Linked DNA regions of Drosophila melanogaster. The protein of the gene in region 2 purifies or fractionates together with the protein of the main gene of each other region. This does not show direct contact. Each region holds a gene or a part of one and is shown on either strand. Other genes may lie near its edges. The genes, in order: Vha68-2, Atpalpha, Mec2 and Mcad.

Region 1 (6,393 bases), on a different chromosome or scaffold from region 2:
ATTGAGGGGGAGGGGGTACCGGATTGGATTTATGGTCATTACGTTGGCAAGCGCAGGTTGGACATGTGCACTTCTTAGCCGGAACCGTTGGGTGAGGCACGGACCTTGGCTCCCCATCTTGGTTTAACGATCCCGAGTTGCGGGCTCTGTCTTCGTTACTTGCGTTACTGTTGGTGAACGAGGTAAGCGGTGCAACCCAGGACTTCTTTTCCATTTGGTTTAAATATATACAATTTTTTCACTTGGTACAATTTTTACTAATATTGTCAAATAAATAAAATAAATGGGGCAGAAGTTTATGGAAAGACTAAGGTGATGACTGAGAATGATATAGGATTTTAGATTATGCTTTTCAATATATTCCCATTTTCTTAGCTTTCATATAGTCAAGTATGTTTATATAATGAAGGTTTAAAATTCAAAAAAATATTTTAACTTATTATCTTTTTATCGAGTTGACACATTTTTAATATCCATTCTGCTGCCAGTGAAATTCACTTTCAATTACATTAAATGTATTTGTTGTTGCACTTTATTCGTACATTTAATATTTCATACTTTAAATATTTACATAAATTTAACAAACAAACAGGGAGAAAACATGACTTTTTTCACAAATAAACAAGAATTTCCATTCATTAAACAATAATACTATTTATGCATGCATTTGTATTTGTGTCTTTTATGTATGTGTTGTGTGTGCGCCAGTGTCCGTGTACTTTTATTCAAGTGTATGTTGGTGTTGTTGTTGTAAATGGAAGTACATAGCAGGACGTTGTAGTTGCTGTTGCCTAGAGTTGCCCTTCAAGGGGCGGAGGGGGCGTGGTTAGGGGAAAGTATTAACCGCAGGCCGGAATGTTTACATCTCTCGCAGGCACCAAGAAGTTGTGGTATTTGTTGGACTTTTGTTTTTCATCGAATGCAGCACGGAATTGTTGGTGTTTGATTAGGCTTTTTCGGATGGTTTTTGACTGCTTTCATTTTTAAACGTTAACTATATAACAAATATAAGATTAGAGTGTAAAAGTAGGGCCAGCGCGGTCTCTAGTCCTCCAGATTTCTGAAGGCCTGCTGCAGGTCCTCGTGCAGCTGCTCGAAGTCAGCCTTGATCTTGGCCTCACCATCCTTAACGGGGTCCTGAAATGGATTGAAAAATGTGGTCACCCAGTGTCTAGGCAATGGATAAATTTGCGTGTTAACCCACCTTGAACTTCATGGATGACAGCTGGTACATAATGTTGCCCATTGCCTCACGAATCACGTTCCAGGTGATCTTGTTCTCAGACTGAGCCGTAGACTCCACGGAGTGACGGGCCATGTCGTAGAAGTCGATGATGTTCCTCAACATGCCCACGGTCTTGTAGAAGGGGCAGAAGCGATCGTACGAGGAGTAGGAGTTCTGCTGCAGGAAATCGTCCTTCAGCAGCTTGGCCACCTCCAGCGTGATCTTGTCGGTTTCGGCCAGAGAGGCCTTGCCGACCAGTTGCACGATCTCAGACAGATCCTCCTCCTCCTGCAGGATCTCCTTGACCTTGGTACGCAGCGGCACGAATTCGGGGAAGTTCTTGTCATAGAAGTCATCCAGAGCACGCATGTACTTCGAGTAGGAGATGAGCCAGTTGATCGAGGGGAAGTGCTTGCGCTGGGCCAACTTCTTGTCGAGACCCCAGAACACCTGCACGATACCCAGAGTGGCGGAGGTCACGGGATCGGAGAAGTCACCACCAGGAGGAGACACAGCTCCGACAATGGACACGGATCCCTCGCGCTCGGGGTTACCCAAGCACTTAACGCGACCGGCACGCTCGTAGAAGGAGGCCAGACGGGCTCCCAAGTAGGCTGGGTAGCCGGAATCGGCAGGCATCTCAGCGAGACGACCAGAAATTTCACGAAGAGCCTCAGCCCAACGGGAGGTGGAATCAGCCATCATGGACACGTTGTAACCCATATCACGGAAGTATTCGGACAAGGTGATACCAGTGTAGATGGAGGCCTCACGAGCAGCCACAGGCATGTTGGAGGTGTTGGCCACAAGGGCGGTACGCTTCATGATGGACTCGGTGACACCGTCGATCTCCACGGACAGCTCGGGGAAGTCACGCAGTACCTCAGACATCTCGTTACCACGCTCACCGCAACCGACGTAGATGATGACATCGGAGTTGGAGTACTTGGACAGAGCCTGCAAGCAAGTAAATGATTTATTAGGGATTGTATTTTTATGAAACTTGAGTGTATGGAGGCTACACGAGGCATCGCTCCTTAAATTCTCAATTTGTGGGACTCTCACCTGCGAGATCACAGTCTTGCCGCAACCGAAAGCTCCGGGAATGGCGGTGGTACCGCCCTGGACACAGGGGAAGAGCGAGTCGAGCACACGCTGTCCGGTGAGCAGGGGGTGGTTGGCGGGCAGCTTCTCGGTCACGGGACGTGGCTGACGCACTGGCCACACCTGCAACATGGTGTGCTTGGTGATCTCTCCATCGAACTCGGTCTCCAGGACGACATCGTCGACCTTGTAGTTGCCGGAGGGGGCGATGTAGCGCACTGTTCCCTTGGCGCGGGGGTTCACAATCATCTTGTGCTTGACCAGAGTGTTCTCATGCACCAGACCGTACAGGTCACCTCCGGTGATGTGGGAGCCGACCTTGACGTTCAGGGGGTTGAACTCCCAGCTGGCCACGCGGGACAAACTGGGCACGTTCACACCCTTGGGGATGTAGATGGATTCGGTCAGCTCGTTAATGTCCTTCAGGGGACGCTGGATACCGTCAAAGATGCTGCCCATGATACCGGGTCCCAGCTCCACGGAAAGAGGCTTGCCGGTACGCAGCACCGGATCTCCGACAGTTACGCCAGAGGTCTCCTCGTACACCTGGATGGTGGCCATGTCACCCTCCAGACGGATGATCTCGCCCACCAGCTCGTAGTAGCCGACGCGGACCAACTCGTACATAGCTGATCCAGACATGGCCTCGGCGGTGACGACTGGAATGAAGCGGTTGGTCGGGTTAGGGGGGCTACATTTCATTCAAGAAGTTTTTATAACTCAGCAAACGAAGATAGGTTCCATTGAACATTTTCTTTTAAAATTTTTTATTATTAATGATACTTGATGATGTTTTTGTTAGAATTATAGAAAAAAGTTTAAAGAAACAATTAATTAATTATTAAAATTATTCACATTTAATTTTGAATAATGAAACCAAAATGTTTGAGTTGTTTGAATATTAATCACAAATAGGTGGACACATTTCTAAAGTTGCCATTATTTCACACAGAAGTGTAAGTTCTAGACTAATCATCAAAGTAAGGTTTCCAGTTCACAGGTATTATTAACTTATTTTTATTAACTTTTAGATAGCATGAGTTATGGTTAGTCAGTATAGTTAGGTGCTTACCAGGACCGGAGACAGCGAAGACACGTCCATATTTGGACTCACGCTCCTCATCATCGAAACGCTTAAGGTTGGACATTTTGCTTTATTCTGTTTTTTCGACTGCAATGGAGGGAAAATAGAAGAGGAAAATTGTTAAATGCTGGCTGCAAAAGGGCGAAGATAAAGGTGAACATTTTCTTATCACTAATTTCTTGCTCAGCCCTCTGTCAGCTGACAAGGGGCAGGTGTATCTGCTACATTTACAGGTTAAGTTTTTGTAGAGCCCACAGCTCCCAAATTTTTCGATTATAGGTTATAAAGTTGTAGGTTAGCAGCTAATAATTTCGATTGATTTAATTATTTTTTTTTTAACTCCCCCTCTTTGATTATGCTGCGTAAAACTTTAAAAGCAGAGCTTTCGTTTCACGTGACAGAGCTTTGAAAGTTCGAAGAGAGCAATTTGTCAAACTAATCGCTAAATAAATAAAATAAGAGCTGTGAAAAAACAACCACAGGTTGACAAATTCAACGGAGGAATGTAACTGAAATGCATGTTTTTCAAAATATGCGGGTTTTCATAATTATCAGCAAAGAAAAACAAGAGAGGGTGGAGTGGGAGAGCAACTCTCCGCTCTGGCTCTCTCGCTCTCCATTCGAGTTCGAATATTTGACAATTGCTTTTGACGTTGATCACAAGACTACTGTCATTGCCGTCAGCTGACAAATGAAAAAAAAGTGGGTAAGGGAAATGGTAAAAATCTTTGGGCCGCCTTTTTTACGTCGCTCGTTCTCCATATTGGTTTTTCATTATCGGAATACGAATAACTCCCACTTCTGTTTCGAGTTTCGAAATGGGAGAGCAAGCGAGCGCAAGAGCGGCGGCGATCACAAGACCCGCGGTGCGACAGGGATGGAGCGAACACGGGGAAGGGGGTCAGCTGACAAGGCAAAATAATTTTCCACGCGCAAATTTTCACGTTTTCATACCGCACTTTTTCAAGCTCCTTGGAAAACTAATTGATATTCGGCTTTTTTAGGGATTATTTTACTCAAGTGTGGACTTGTGCTGCACTTATTATCTAACACACTTGCAGTCTGTGTGCGTGTTTTCGCTCTGCGCTTTGATCGCTGCTTCGTCACTTTTTCGGGGCGAATTCAAGACGGATTTCAATGCCGCTTTCTTTCGCTAATTGTTTAAATCGCCCAGAACCGTCTTCCAGCCATTCCATTATTTATTGTTACTTATTTGCTTTGGGTGGGTGTGTGTGTTGGTGGGGGGGAAGGGCTTACTTTGCTGTGTCTTCGCGTTCACCTTGCGAACGTGTGATTGCTGCTTTTCTCCAACAGAACGAACTAAAACCGACTGAGCCGCAGAAATAAAACGTCGACGCTCGCACTTCGAAAAGCTCTCTACCGCGATTCGATTTCGATTTCGACCCGTGTGATCGCGAGCTTTCCGCGGCGAGCTTGCAAGCGAAGTTGTGAGCTGATATCGAGTGCGAGCGAAGCTTTCGCCAATCGATGTGCGGAAGCGAGATGGAGCGAAAGAGAGCTAAAGAGCGGGTGGGGTCACACTGGCTTAAAGAAGTTCGTGGGTTGATTCTGAAGTTTTGGGAGTAAACGGGATCTTTTCAAAGTTGCTAATATCCAATTATTTTAAGTCCATTTTAAGTCCTCGATGATCAATCGGTCCAAATTAAACAATCATTTTCTTAGCTGCTTATAAAATCAATAATTAATTTGACACTGTATAAACGAGGAATATATAGCTTAAATACAAAACCTGCCATTGTATAGTGTTAAGTGCTCTCAATAAAAATGGCAATCAATTAGATTCCCATTTAAATGTCCAAAAAATGCAATTTTAAACTAATCAATTGTGGAAATTGGCCGGTGCGAGGGTAGACTAATAAGTTCACTAAAGCGCAACAACACGCCGTTAGCAATTATTTTAAAATGTTTATTTATCGTCGTTTCCCCTTTTTTTTTTATTACCATTTTAAGTAAAAAAAAGAAACTGACAGCGGTGGCAAAAACTTTGATTAAAATCCGCATCGTAAAAAGGTATTTGCCAATGATTTAAGTTTTTGCTGCCCTGCCCCTTTGTTTTTTATCCATTATTCTATCTTCCGTTCTTCTAGTTAGGATTCCACGCTTTCCCCACTTTTTTTTTGTGCTGTAGTAATCAATGAGAATGGAGCAGCGAAAAAGTTAAGATTAACCCGATCAGATTGTTTTTATGCTCTTGCGAATATACTTTTTTAACATAAAATAAATAGCACAATATGCAGCGATTATCAGATTTCTTTAAGTGGATTCTCCTTATTTAAAGAGGAAAACGAATGTGCTAATTGAAAATATTGAGAAATTCGCATAACCAAACTATATGTTTATAAGAAGTTTAATGTTTATATAACTTAACCATTTAATTTGTTTTTTATTATATTATTATCTTAGATATTTTACATGTGAGTGTAACAACATAATTGTACTTCTTTTAAATCATAATATGGCTAGAAAACCTCATTTAAATATTTTAGTTCTTGAGTCCATGCTAGTTTTTTTTTCAGTGTCGCTGCACTCAGCTTGATTTAGCTAAATTTTCGGATTGCAGTCAGCAAAAGTGGCAACTACAACGCAAAGCCATGCTAACATAGAAGTCGAACAGCGAAAGCCTCTATGTTCCCGAGATGCGAAGGATACGAAGGACACGCCAGGGGCAGAGGGTAGGTGTGTGAGTTCTGGCTCCCGCTCTTTGCATAACTTATAAATCGATGACGTTGGCAGGCAGCGAGAGCGCATCTCGAGTCGCAGCATTTGCATAATAAGGCAGCAGTGCATGTGGCATGAGGATCTGCCTGCGATTCATTGCAAATTTCTATCAGCCCTGTGAACGGGGATTCCCCTCACTGCAGATGTATGCGTATGTGTGTGAGAGTGTGTGTGTGTGAGTGATTGAGTGACTGAGTGTTTCGGATTCTGATTCGGTGTCAAAATGGCGCAGAAAAGTGCT
Region 2 (4,823 bases):
CTACTTCAGGTAGCTGGACAATAAACTACCCCTTCGGAACTAAGCCACCCCTGAAGGGTAATGATCGATGGACCTTGAGAGACCTACAAGCTGGAGACCAACTCGAAAACAAACGAAAACGAAAATAAATCAACGTACCGCTCTAGAACTTAATCTACAAGTGTTGGTCGAGCGAGTGTTATCTGATAAGCAGACGAAAGGTAAATATAGCGCAAAGGCACAGATACAGATACCGATACCTGGGAAACTGGAGGCCCAGACCCCTAATAGCGGGTTATGCAATCGTTAGTAATTAAGACCCTACCCATTGACGCAAACTGGGCATGTGCCAAATATCACACCGCAGCGAAACAAATCGAAGTCCTTGTCGAATGCAATCTGTGTGCTGGATGTGACAGCAAACAGTCAATGGGCGAGGTGATAATTTCCACATCTTGCGATTATGGCCGCCAATTGATGATGCCCACATAGCGTAGATGGCTTTTTCCAACAAGATCTATTCAAACGGTTTGCCATTGTCAGTTGATTAGATTTTTATTGGCGCGTAATTGAATTAAAACGGCCAATATTGTTTTGCTGCCACGCTTTGATTGCCGAAAGCAAGTCACCACCTCTGTCGGACGGTTTTCTGGTATTTTCCAGTTGTAATTATTATCACTGTCGCTTTTACTGCCATCGGCAATCTGTTAAGTAGTTAACGCGAACCTAAAATCTCCGAGCCGGGTAAAACTGGTCAAAAAGGGAAGGGGCCCGTCTATTCGGGTGCACAAAATATCTGGTTAATATATAGTATAGGTGTGTGTACTACATGTCAACGCTGATAACTGCTGATAGTATTCAAATCCTGGGTGTTAGCATTTAGAACCTGCCATTACCACGTTGGAAGCACATTATTCAGCTTATTTGCCGTCCTCTCCATAAACTCTTAATTGCTTTATCTGCATTTTTCGACTGATAAACGGGTAGATGCATACATACATACATATACCAACTAGTTCTCGTTTTGGCTGGCCCTTAATTCCAAATCATTTACTTATGGAACGCACATTGAGAGGAAGGGAACTTCATTATCGCGTTCTTAGAGCATCGTCAGATTGTAGTTTCATGATTTTTGATGTGCTTTCTTAAATTGACTTCAATTGAAAGCGCATGAGTCAGCATACAAAACGAAGCCACAACGCTGGTGGGGGGATGTGAGATATACTCGTACATAACTCAGCTTTACGCGGATTTGTGCGTGAAATCATAATAGAATTTCCACTGAGCACACTGGGTTAAGATATAAGATGTCGTAGTCCGGCAGATTGAATTATAATAATTATGCAACGTTGTATTCTACACCAACAATATTATCATCAGAATTTGCCCTTGAAAATCCGTTGGGAAATGCGTCATATTTTATAAAATTAATTGTATGAAACCCAACCCAATAAACCCAACCACAAATGTTTTTAAACTTAAAATAATTTGCGTAACTTATTTTGATTCTTAAAATATGCATACCACTACAATACTAATAAAGACGTAATTTTGGAATTACATACTTAATTTTATAACAATACAAATATGCACAATATAATATATATTATAATAATTATATAATAATATCTAAATATATTCTACAAGACACTTTCAAGTCTAAGTGAGGTCTTAAGCGTTCTTTTCAAGTTTTCCCGTTACAAATAATATCTGGACCCACTGTTTGTTGCGAGTGGATTCAGACCGCTTGCTCTATAGTTTTGCATACTTTCGGGCCGTCGAACCAGTATGTGTGTGGGTGCGTGCGTGTGTGTGACCTGCCCTTAGACAAGCCCCAAAATCAATAGAGCTGGCAATACGGACTTAGAATTGGTGGTCTAGCCCTAGGAACAGAACCGAAAGCCCGGGTGGAAACAACAACCCTGGCGAAGAACTCATTACCTTCTGCGGGGTAATTAAGTGGCGTCATCGGTGGGGCATTTAGTAACTAATCGAATGGTGAGGGGGTAGGGAAGGGAAAGTAAGGGCTACGTACTGAGAAAAAAGTACGGTAAGAAGTACGTCGATTTACGCTAATGTGCCAGTGTGTGTAATTAGCAGCGCACTACTCGGCCCAATGACACCAATTCCGGAAGGAGGGAAAGCACGGAAAATGGAAAAATAAACGTGTTATGCAGGGTAGTTTCGTTCTAGAGCTCGAGATTCCAATAATGAAATCTGCGAGATGCGGCGGAATGGGGCGTGGTTCGGGAGGGGCGGCAGCAGTACCGGTTATGTAAGCCGAAAACTGGAAGATTTCCAAGCACGGAAAAGCGAAAAGCTTTCGCGCCGGGAAAGTGGAAAATTTGGGAAACTGGTCGGCCTGGAAATGCAAATTGCGCATGCCAGCTAAGCGCACCTGGAAAGCGAGAGAGAGAGAGACAGAGAGGCAGAGAGAGAGAGAGAGAGCAAGAGAAAGGGAGAGCGAATACAAATTCGAGAAAAAAGTCAAAAGCCAGGCTCTAAGCCCAGGCTATTTTTACAGATCAGCAGGTAAGCGGATATAGGCCCATCCAGATCCAATAGGATTAGTAACTGCGCCCCGTTTCACATTCGATTCCGTTTGCAGTTACCGAAAGCCCGCAAACAAATTAGTAAACTTCGTTGGGCGTCGCCTCGGCTTTGTTGTTGTTGTCGTTGCTTCTCGCTTTTTCACCAGCAACAAAACAAATAGTAGTAGCAGCAGCAGCAGCAAGAACAACACCAAAAGCAATGTACACAACACAGATACACGCACACACCCACACAGCGCACTCGGGCTTCGATTTTTCCCACTAAAAACAACGCCCGCTCAGCGTATCACTTGGCCAATTTGTTTTGGCCCTGGTTCTTTTTGGTTCCCTCGTCATGGTCTAACAACAGTTTAAACTTAACCATTTTCTCACTTAACTAACTTAGTTTTCATCGTAATCCAGGCTTTATTTTTGCTCACCTCGTAATCCGACCTTAACGCCATGTTATTTTAATTTAACTCGATTATTCCCAGGGATGTGGAAAATTTACACAATTCCAACGTATCGATATTTTAGAAGTCGTGACTACCAAATGGAGAGTTATCGGCCTATTGTATCGAATAAGCCGGTGTAGAAATCGGGATGGCAATCGGTTAAGAAAATGTAATTGTAAATATTGCATTATGAATAAAATTACTATTATAATTTGTCAATAGTCCGAACAGTCTGGTTTATTTAAAATGAAAAGTTAAGTATTTTAAATATACCTGGATATTTATTTACCGAAAGTTGTTACTATGCTACCTTCAAATATTAATATCTGGATATGTTTGGATTTCAATACTCTCATTAATAATTGCTAATTTAAAATACCAAGTTAAAAATATGTTTAATTTTTCACCTCAATTTGGAAATAACATACTTTTATGTACTTTTTATATCAACTGCAAGCGTGAAAATTACTGGAGCTGCCAGATTAAAATATACACACTACGATAGTTGCCATCTTGAATATTTACAGATATGGAGAGTTGCCAACGTTATAGTTATGTGTATTCAATTTCAAGAGATAATAAAATACCAAATACAATACGCGCGTCTTCTTGCATTCCAAACATAGGTGGCGCTGTATAAGCAAAATAATTTTAAGTGGCAGATAGAACGAAGTGTAGATGGCGTTCGTTAAACGTATAAATTAGCTACTCTCCAAGAAATGTTCAACTGGACTTGAATCTTCTCAAATTTATTTCCTATGTTCAGTATTGATCGTTGATCATTGTTGCGATGAATGGCTTCAAACGGGCCAGAGATTCTCGAAGGCTCAGCAATTCGACGATCCTGTGGGGAAAAACGCATCTTGGAGATTATAAGTTCAGCTTACTTAAACTAATTAAATTATACTTAAATTTCAAGATACACCTGATACCCCTCGTCATCATTATCCAGCAACTTATCATTGGAAGCACCAACTGAAGGTTCGCCCGAAACCAACAGACCGCGTAATTGATTATAATTAAATTATGAATTTAATTGAGAACACTATTGATAAGTACGAGTCACGATGTGGAACTCAAGACGAAGATCTTCCAATTTGTCAGTGTAATGGAGCTATAAACATAACAATCCTCCAAACGACCAGGCATTTGGAAAACTTATCTCCGTCCGCACAAGATCTCATTTTATCATCCGAAATGCTGACCTCCACTTGGTCGAAGCTGAATTTATCGCAACTCTAAACCCCAAATATAATCAGGATAATTAGATGTCTCAAGTCATTTTGTTCTTGAAGGCTAGCATGTTCTATCTAAGTTAGCTTCCCAGCAAAATGGCATCTAAATTTCTACAGATTCATTCAATTGATCAATTCGGTGACCAATTACAAGGAAATGCCAAATTTGCACACTCTTACAAAGAGCACAGTTTGCACGGTTTCATTTGCCCTTACCTTCTCCGGAAGCTTCAATTGGTTTATCCGGTTAATTAATATTTTGAAATCAATTGTTGTCGACACGAGCACAAACAAGGAAGCAGCTCCAAAGGGGCTGCGGTTGCTTAGGCGAAACGACTTTTCGCTCAGCTGCAGAGCAACCCACTTTCCACTTTGCCCATCCTTTTGCCCGCCCTCTCATCCTGCGGCCCCGTCAATCGATTCAATATCCCATGGCCATTAGAAGGAAGCCGGCTCGACTACAAAATTGAGCCCACATAAGCTGAGGGGAAATCGCCTTGTTGCCACTGCCACTGTCTTCGGGTTTGGCTTTCGCTTTTGCTTTTGCTTTGGCATTGGCTTTGGCTCAAATAACCTGAAAGGCCCAATCAACAGGTGTCTTTGCCTCTGCTGCGTGCTGGTGC
Region 3 (4,671 bases), on a different chromosome or scaffold from region 2:
ATCCCTTCCAGGTGACAATGAAGTAGACCGTGTCACCAAGCATATAGCTGTACATAACATTCTCAATTGCTTTGCCGCGGACCAGGAGCGCATCCGTAGGCGGCACGTTCAACGGTTGGGACTCATTGGAATTGCCGCCATCGAGATTCCCTGACACGCTGCCACCGTTGGTTGCATCCAGTTCTGCCTGTTGTACCAACAACTCGACGAGCAGCCGAGCCAGCTCTGCCCGAGCCGAATTGTGAACTCCCATGTGCTTTGGAGGCGGCGTCGAACCGGCCTCCTTGGATTCATCCTTTGTCGGCTCTTCCTGCACTTCCTCCTGCTGATCGTTCTCCTTCTGCTGATCGTTCTCCTTCTGCTGATCGTTCTCCTTCTGCTTTTCCTCCTCCGCGGGGAAACCACCTGTGTTCTTGTTGTTGGGGCTGTTTTCTTTGTCCGCCATCGTTTAGCAATAAAGTTCTCTTGCAAAAGTAAACCAAATGAATTCACGTGCAATCGTTAAATGAAAAATGGCGGCAAGTTTCCGATTGCTGAAGCTGCCAGCTAGTGCGAATTGCATTTATTAAAAAAAAAAAAAAAATGAATAAGACATTAATATTTTCAAACTCTGGCAACGCCCTAGATTCAAATCATAGGTTGGTTTTCGGCCAAGCGTCCAGTGCGTCTAAAACTATGTTATCTGACTTTTCTGGCGATTGCTTAAGTTCCGGTGGCGGGCCCATCAAGTGGGCATATTTGGCCAGATACGGAGTAAGCAGCTCCATGGGCAGAGGAAAGATAATGGTGGAGTTCTTCTCGGCGGAGATGCTGCTCAGGGTTTGCAAGTAGCGCAGCTGTGATGACAGAAAAATTCGAATGGCTGGTAATCCGTGCTCAACGATTGATTTCAGCTTTTACTAGGACAACACCCACCTGCAAGGCCGATGGACTGGCGGAAATGACATCGGATGCCTCCTTGAGCGCTGTGGCGGACTTCTTCTCACCCTCGGCGGCGATCACCTTGGCACGAGCATCACGAGCTGCCTCCGCTTCGGCGGCCATGGCACGCTGCATGGAAACGGGCAGGGAGACATCCTTGCTGTCAGCGGGTGAAGTGCATACAACGTACAGATGTTAAGAAATACTGATCTGATCTGATGGATGTCAAATGCCTACTAAATGGCTACTTACATCTCAACGCGCTCCACCATGACGCCCCACGGCTCGGTGGCCTCGTCCAACGTGGCCTGCATATTGTGGGCCAGGGTTTCGCGCTCGGTTAGCAGTTCGGACAGGTTGCGAGTGCCGACGATATTTCGGAGCGTGGTGGCCGCCAGGAGGCGAGTGGACATGCTGTAGTCCTCGACCTGGATGACCGCATAAAGGGGATCACTGATGCGATAGTAGACAACGGCGTCCACAGTGACCGTCACGGAATCCTTCGTCAGCATCTCCTGCTGCGGCACATTGAAGGTAACCGTGCGCAGGTCCACCTTGCGGTACTCATCGATGCACGGCAGGATGAAGAACATGCCGGGACCACGAGCTCCGCCGCTCAGTCTGCCCAGCCGGAAGATGATCGCCCGCTCGTACTCCGCCACCACCTTGAAGCATATGAAGATGGCGATGGGCGATGTGATGATGAAGATCAGCACGGAGAACAGGGTGACCACCCATTCCATGCAGCCCTTGGGCTCGTTCTCCGCTGCAATGGGATGTTAGGAATATGAATATGAAATATTCATCTACAAAATGGCCATATTTCAGGCATATGTGTACAATAATTGTGCCGCAAGAGAAACGTAGATAAGTCCACTTCAATTCGATGGCCAAGATGAAGTACCTTCTTTGTCCGGATTCCGAAGAGACCAACTTATTATTAAGTAAAACAGGACTATGATGGACTATGTAACAACTTGAAAAAGAGAAAGCTGTGAAAAGCAATAGCCATCACAATCAAAAAAAAGAAAACACGGATAAACACCAATCAGCCCGCTTATCTTGGAGTCCAATAAAAATTCCTACGATTAAAAATATAGACAGGTGTAATATATATGCGCCAATACAATTAGAATGTTGTAGCAATTGACGATTATGTGGGATTACGATGGAAATCAAATTGCTACTAGTACTACTTTGATAAAGCGAGAGATAGTTTGTATTTTTAGAACTCCTATCTAGTGAATACTATTAACCGAATCAAGCGGTTTTGCATGTCTGAAATATTGTAGAATGCTTTGAGCCAAAAACAAACTTTTCACGCGATCAAAATGCTGTTGCAATCTTATCTGAACCAGCGATTCCAAGAAATCGTATCTCAATCGATCTAAAGTGATTAGCGCTTGACAGTAAGCAAAGACTTGTTTTTTTTTAACAATAATAATTCTCCTAATATTGGCCGGGATGGGTCATCATCTTGCTGCATCTATAGTATACACCGTTTCCGCCCGCTTACAAGTTTTGAATCCACGATACTGCTGCGTGGTGCCGGGCACTCGAAGTGCCGGCTCGGGTGCCATGCCGGCGGCGCCCATGTTGACCATGTACGCCGTGGAGCTGGCCGGCCCAGAGTTGCGCATATCTTCGTAGTTGGCGTACACGGGCGAATCCTGGTGCGGCTCCATTGCTGTTTCTCTGCTCCGTTCTGGCCTACGTTCGTTGCTCTCCGATCGGCTATGGATTCGAAACTGTCGCCAGCGGTCAGCGCCGCAAAAGCCAAACTGAATGCCCAAAAGCGTTCTCACGTGATAAGAGCGCACTGGTTCTCTCAGATACGAAGTATCGCATTGGCATTATCGCTACGCTGAGCTGCCGAGCGGCTTAAATGCGATTCAACAGTGAGAGAAAAGAAGCACTGCACTGAAACACCACGAACCAAGTGTGCCGCCACTGAAAGAGGCGATCTCTAGTCCGTACATCCTCCACAGCAATTGAGCACATGCCATATAAGAGAATGTAATGGAATGGAATGTAAATGCATCGGCTCGTAAATTTTCGTTCAGTGTAGTGTATCTACGACCGGGGAAACACCAAGAGCCGCTCTGTAAGTCGAGAGCCATGGGTCACCACGGATGATTCACTGCACTGCGCCGAAAGAATTGCCAACTGGAGGCGTACACTTTCAGATTATTCCGACCGACGATCAATGAAAGCCGAGTAAGCTCTATCTGGCCCAAGTGCGTTTAGCACTTTAATCAATCGGTTATCTCAGCTGGAGCATTGAGACGCAGTTCTGCTTTGGGGTCACGGGTCATTGGCTGGAGCCACCCGATGGTGACTCAATTCTGATCTGGCGGTCACATTAGCACTGAAGAGCTTATCTGCCACACTCGCTGAAGTGGCATGCAAATCTGAGTTATTTAGATAAGCGAAGAGCAAATATGTACATACATATATATATATCATATATAAATGTAAATTTTGTTGTTTCGAAAAAGGGGGAAGAACTGAAAAAAAAAATGTGTTTTCTGAATCATTTGGTTTATTTAAATGGTTAGCTTTTACCCTGGTTTGTAGTTAGCTATTGTTATTAATTCTTAAGATACAAACAAATAATATTGGTTATTTTAAATATAACGTCTCTACTTAAAACGACTGTGAATGAAGAAGGAAAAGCCTTGGAAAAGCCTCAGTTACTATTGCATACTAAATTCGACATATTAGAATAAATTCTAAAAAAAAAAAATTTATTTTTAAGTCCGAACCATGTTTGAATCTCTCCAGAATCTAGGGAATTCCATGGCACTTTCATTCGAATTCATTGGTGACTCATTTTCCGGATTTTCCGGACAGTTCCGCTTTCTGTCGCTGCTGCCGCCGTTCCACTAGAGCAAGAAACCCACGATGTCGTCATCGTCATCCGCCGCTCCCGCTGCAGCCGCTCCGCTTCGCTGTTGCTTCTGCTGACGCTGCAGCTCGCAGCGATGCAGTGCCTCCAGATATGGTTGCAGCACCGACATCGAGCGTCACTGGTGGTGTTGGTGCGGGTGTCGATGGAGTGGCGTGCCAGGAGCCGCAGGATGTTGTTGTTGTTGGTGCTGATGCTGCTGCTGTTGCTGTTGCAGCTGCTGCTGGTGTTGCAGTTGCAGCTGCTGCGAGTGTGCTTGGGTATTCAGGAAGGGCGTGAGCAGCTCCATGGGCAGCGGGAAGATGATGGTCGAATTCTTCTCGGTTGAAATGCTGCTCAGTGTTTGCAAGTATCGCAACTAAGTAGAGAAGAAGATGGAACGAATGAAACCATTTGGGCCAGTTCCAAATGTCCGATGGTTGGATTCAGATGGAAGAAGATGACTCACCTGCAGGGCGGATGGACTGGCCGAGATGATCTCGGAAGCCTCGCGCAGAGCCCTCGACGACTTCATCTCGCCCTCGGCGGCAATGACCTTGGCCCGCGCCTCCCTCGCTGCCTCCGCCTCGGCGGCCATCGCCCGCTGGAGGGCAGTTGGCAAGGATACGTCCTTGCTGCAAGCGGATCATGGATAGAGTGGATCATGTCATGATCACATCACGACTTTCGGCAGTTGGCTACTCACATCTCCACGCGCTCCACCTTAACGCCCCAGGGATCGGTGGCCTCGTCCAGGGACATCTGCATGGTGTGCGAGATGGTCTCGCGTTCGGTCAGCAGCTCGGACAGATTCCTGGTGCCGAGCACATTGCGCAGCGTGGTGGCCGCCAGGAGACTCGTCG
Region 4 (4,277 bases), on a different chromosome or scaffold from region 2:
TGACCACATCAAATAGCCGGAAAATTGGAAGGCGGTACAAAGGTCTACTTAAGCTACTCGCTGATGGAAGCGATGCGGAATAGTGTAGTCTCATCATGTGTAAACCATTTCCTTGTGTTGTATGTCCCAGAGCATTTTTTATTGTTTGACAATTATATAGCAAATCTAAGTACAGTAAGTCTTATCGTTCAGTTGATAGCAGAACAGCGATTCGTTGAACCTAAGTAGAACAAACACTCAGCCCCCACAGGGCTTATCTTATCAATGGATGATAGCTAGCGAAATAATTTGCGATGGTCTAGACTCTACAATTTTGGGGGTAAGTGAGGGCAAGATTAGAGAAACTTGAAATATTAAGAATTAGTAAACATACTAACGCACTGACTGTTTGCTTACTTCTTCCTTCCTTTTATACACTTGAGGAATAAGTAATTCCTTAGAAATTACCAAGTGCCATTTATACAACATTTCCCTCAACAGACAAATCACAATCAATGATTTATATTTTCTTGTAATTATTTACTTATTGTACTTTATTAATCGGATTTGTGAATGTGTCTACAATGAGCATGACAACTGATGAGGTGAATGGAGATGAGGAATCCTAGTTAAAACTGACTTAGGCTTGACCCTTAGCAGCCTCGTACATGTTTCGGGAAATGATGAGGCGCTGGATCTGAGAAGTACCTTCGTAGATTTGGTAGATCTTGGCATCACGCATCAGCTTCTCCACGGGATACTCGCTGTTGAAGCCGTTGCCTCCAAAGATCTGGACGGCATCGGAGGCAATCTTGTTGGCCATATCGGCGGCATGGCACTTGGCAATGGAGGCATAGTAGCTGTTGCGGCGTCCCTGGTCGATTTCCCAGGCGGAGAGACGCCACGCCAGACGGGATGTCTCCACACCGATGGCCATATCAGCCAGCATGAACTGCACAGCCTGGTGGTAAGCGATGGGCACGCCAAAGGTCTTGCGTTCCAGCGCGTATTTAAGAGCCTCATCCAAGCAACGCTGGGCCAAACCCACAGCTCCGGCAGCAACTGGAGGACGCGTCTTATCAAAGGTGCCCATGGCAATTTTGAAACCGGCACCCTCGCCAATCAGCACATTTTCCTTGGGCACGCGCACATCCTCGAAGGTGATGCCACGCGTGTCGGAGGCGCGCTGTCCCATGTTCAACTCCTTGCGGCCGGGCGTTAGTCCGGGACTGTCGCGCTCCACAATGAACCCGGTGAAGGCCTTGCTGGGCGGGCACTTGGGATCCGGATTGGTGCGGGCCAGCACAAAGTACCAGTTCGCCACACCACCGTTGGTGATCCACATCTTCTGGCCGTTGATTACCCACTCATCACCCTTCTTCTCGGCGCGTGTCTTGATGCCGGACACATCGGATCCTGCTCCGGGCTCTGTAACACAATAGGCGGCGACAAGTGGCTCCTCCAGCAGGCGGCCCAGGTACTTTTTCTTCTGTTCCTTGTTACCGGACAGGATCACAGGAGTTTGCTATGAAAGAACGTGGCGTTTCGATCATCTTGCCGTAAATAGACATGACTTTAAACTTACGCCCAGACCACTAGCCTCTAAGGCGGTCATGATGCCAGTGCAGCCATAGGCCAACTCCTCGGCCGACAAGCAGGTGGTGAACACATCGAGATCCAGGCCACCAATATCAGCAGGAATGTGGTTGTTCATCAGGCCCAGTTCCCAGGCCTTCTTGATGATGGGCCACGGGTACTCGCCGCTCTTGTCGTACTGGGCGGCCACCGGGATGATCTCCTCACGGGTGAACTTACGTGCCAGTTCCTGCAGCTGCAGCTGATCCTCGGTGAGTGCGAAAGAGGTGCCATTGGGCGAAACGTGTGACACGGCGGCGTAGGCGCGACTTTGGGACACCAACTGGCGCAGGGCAGGCGCAGCAAGCTGGATTTTCGGATATTGGATATCGGATTTAAAGTCAACTGGTAAACAAGTGTTTATCGAAATGCAAAATGAAAATGTAGAAATAATCAGAACAACAACAAAGTTGACCGCGAATTAATCTTAACTACAAGCAACAAATAAAATGGGCCAACTACGTATGTATTTAATTAATACAACATCATGATCATAGACGAAGGTTTTTTTTATATTTACAAGGGACTTTGGATGTTTGAGGTTCATAACCAACCATCACATTCTATTTTTTTCATAAAACAGATAACGAATATGCCTGCCCATAAAGTTTGCATTCCGATTTAAATAGAGTGCACGATAAGCCGCCATTAGACGCCGCTAATAATACTTTCTCAGGGGGGGCAAAGTACAGATGATTGCTAACAGATAGGCAGCAACAAATTGTTTTCGAAACGGAACCCACTCGAATATATGTTTGTTGGTAGGTACATATGTATATGTATGTATGATCCTACGATCAACAGTTGCTGTCGTCACTAGCGTGATAGAACTTTGGACCTTTGGATATGATATGTCCCAGCGATGTGTTTTTCACTTTCTCTGCGTTGTAAATTGACTGATATGCTCACCTTGTTGAGGAACGCCATTTGAATGTGGGTTTATTTTCGTATTTTCCTGAGTTTTAACTAGGTCGCCTTGCTAACTCGTCGGTGGCTGCCAGCGAAATGATCCAAACGAGTTGCCGATGCGCCGGTATAGCGATGTTATATATGTACATACATATGTACATTGGTTCATCGCGATATGGCAGCGACGCTTGGACATTGGACCTTGTTGCGCTGGCAGTCGCAAAAGCTACAGAATCGTGGTGACGAACGAACTACAAGCATATGCACCTACAAATATATGCAGGAGGTTGAGATAAGGGAAGATTTCGCAGACATTTGTATGCGCTGTTGATGGAACTTTCCCAAAGCTTTTCGAAGAGTTAACAAATTTGTTTGTACCTCGCCTTAATTGTAATATAATGCTTATATAAATAAATTGTATTGTAAAATATTTTTAAAATACCAACTGTACATTTCATCCAGGTTTTGTCAAGTACATAGGCATATGTGTATGAAGAGACACACCCCCTTTTTTAAGATATCAATGTACCACACGAAATACCCTACGAAATAAGCTTAATAAAACATAGCTTTAACGTAATGCCCAGCAATCTACGTAAGGTAAAAGCTTTCAGTTCACAACGTAACGTATTGCTTCTGGGCAATAGGTATAAAATAATACAATCGGGTATATTAGGCTTGAAAATGTTCGTCGGCAGAGGTCATTGAGGGATAATTCATATTAAATAGTAATATACTATATTTTGGTTAGTTTAGAATAAAATGTAGAGACAATTAGATAATTATAGGTTTCATTCGCTTTAACTTTTTAACCCCATTTTTCCATATTCAAAACATTTAAAACATGATTTGATATGTTAAATAATAAAATAAGAACCAACAGGATAGTCCCTAGTCGTTAGACTTCGCTGCCACCTGTTAGGTGCTTAACAATCGGAGCATACTTTCCCGCTTGACACAAATAGACGGAACATGTTCCTCTGGCTGTTTTAAAAATAACAGATTGCAGCCCCGCCTCCCAGCGACAAAAAAATCTCCAGCGAAACGAATTGGAAATCCGTGACACAGTTGACAGGCAGATATAAAAAACAGAGCACTACGTGGCGCGGCACGAAGACATCATTAAATCAGCATCCGCAGCCATCCAAAGTCGTAATCAGCCGTTGAAGCGAGTGGTATCTCTTATCAGCCAGGCCAGGCGCATAAAACTGGGTCCGGTTAAAGCTCTTCCGCCACGACGAGGACGAACGCGCACAGCCGAGCTGGAGCCGAAGTGGTTCGGGTGGTGCGATGGCGGGTGGCGAGTCCTGTGGCGTCTAAGGCCCAACTGGGATAGCTGCTCCTAGTCAGTCATTTGACATTGCTCCTGCGAGAAGGTTGTCCACGGTCCGAGCCCAAATCCTCCGTCGCCCACAACTCGTCCGCAAGCCAGCCGTAGTGTGTGTTTTTTTGTGCTACCCACTCCCACTTTTGGGATACATATAAAAGTGCCACCCCCGCCTTCCCAAAAAAAAAAACCGCCTCATAGAGGAGTGAAATTTTAAACAAGTGTTACCTAAGCCCAAACCTCAAAGAAACCACAACAAAAAGGGAGCAGTAGTTGAAGGTTGCGGCAAAATGGCCCAGTTTGTGACCCACATCCAGCCAACGCTGATGGAGGCGTCCCAAGGTCATGTTCCTCACCACCACGGACATCAGGTGGGTGTGCAGCACTCGTCGCATCTGCCCCACAGCGGCCACAACATGCCCTCGCC

The links.
Region 1: the proteins of Atpalpha (region 2) and Vha68-2 purify together in Drosophila melanogaster (affinity purification with mass spectrometry, with the first as the bait; one large-scale study listed by BioGRID). This does not show direct contact.
Region 3: the proteins of Atpalpha (region 2) and Mec2 purify together in Drosophila melanogaster (affinity purification with mass spectrometry, with the first as the bait; one large-scale study listed by BioGRID). This does not show direct contact.
Region 4: the proteins of Atpalpha (region 2) and Mcad purify together in Drosophila melanogaster (affinity purification with mass spectrometry, with the first as the bait; one large-scale study listed by BioGRID). This does not show direct contact.

The regions. Positions count from the first base shown.
Region 1 is NT_033779.5:12,972,721-12,979,113, reverse strand, and holds Vha68-2 (vacuolar H[+] ATPase 68 kDa subunit 2), read right to left. Parts: upstream 4,793-6,393; 5' UTR 4,671-4,792; intron 4,493-4,670; exon of another isoform or gene 4,368-4,492; intron 3,929-4,367; exon of another isoform or gene 3,891-3,928; intron 3,713-3,890; exon of another isoform or gene 3,645-3,712; intron 3,501-3,644; 5' UTR 3,478-3,500; coding exon 3,402-3,477; intron 2,989-3,401; coding exon 2,291-2,988; intron 2,183-2,290; coding exon 1,205-2,182; intron 1,138-1,204; coding exon 1,045-1,137; 3' UTR 507-1,044; downstream 1-506. Other genes in the region: Vha68-3 (vacuolar H[+] ATPase 68kD subunit 3), read right to left, coding at 1-214. UniProt on the Drosophila melanogaster protein: Catalytic subunit of the V1 complex of vacuolar(H+)-ATPase (V-ATPase), a multisubunit enzyme composed of a peripheral complex (V1) that hydrolyzes ATP and a membrane integral complex (V0) that translocates protons.
Region 2 is NT_033777.3:20,946,957-20,951,779, reverse strand, and holds the start of Atpalpha (Na pump alpha subunit), read right to left. Parts: upstream 3,001-4,823; 5' UTR 2,975-3,000; coding exon 2,951-2,974; intron 1-2,950. UniProt on the Drosophila melanogaster protein: This is the catalytic component of the active enzyme, which catalyzes the hydrolysis of ATP coupled with the exchange of sodium and potassium ions across the plasma membrane.
Region 3 is NC_004354.4:19,186,050-19,190,720, reverse strand, and holds Mec2 (Mec2), read right to left. Parts: upstream 2,687-4,671; 5' UTR 2,607-2,686; coding exon 2,438-2,606; intron 1,688-2,437; coding exon 1,174-1,687; intron 1,082-1,173; coding exon 916-1,081; intron 837-915; coding exon 633-836; 3' UTR 528-632; downstream 1-527. Other genes in the region: HP1D3csd (heterochromatin protein 1D3 chromoshadow domain), read right to left, coding at 1-445; CG33253 (uncharacterized protein), read right to left, coding at 3,948-4,187, 4,278-4,443, 4,515-4,671.
Region 4 is NT_037436.4:7,717,704-7,721,980, reverse strand, and holds Mcad (Medium-chain acyl-CoA dehydrogenase), read right to left. Parts: upstream 2,632-4,277; 5' UTR 2,542-2,631; coding exon 2,524-2,541; intron 2,083-2,523; exon of another isoform or gene 1,922-2,082; coding exon 1,565-1,921; exon of another isoform or gene 1,505-1,564; coding exon 620-1,504; 3' UTR 509-619; downstream 1-508. Other genes in the region: CG7457 (uncharacterized protein), read left to right, coding at 1-83.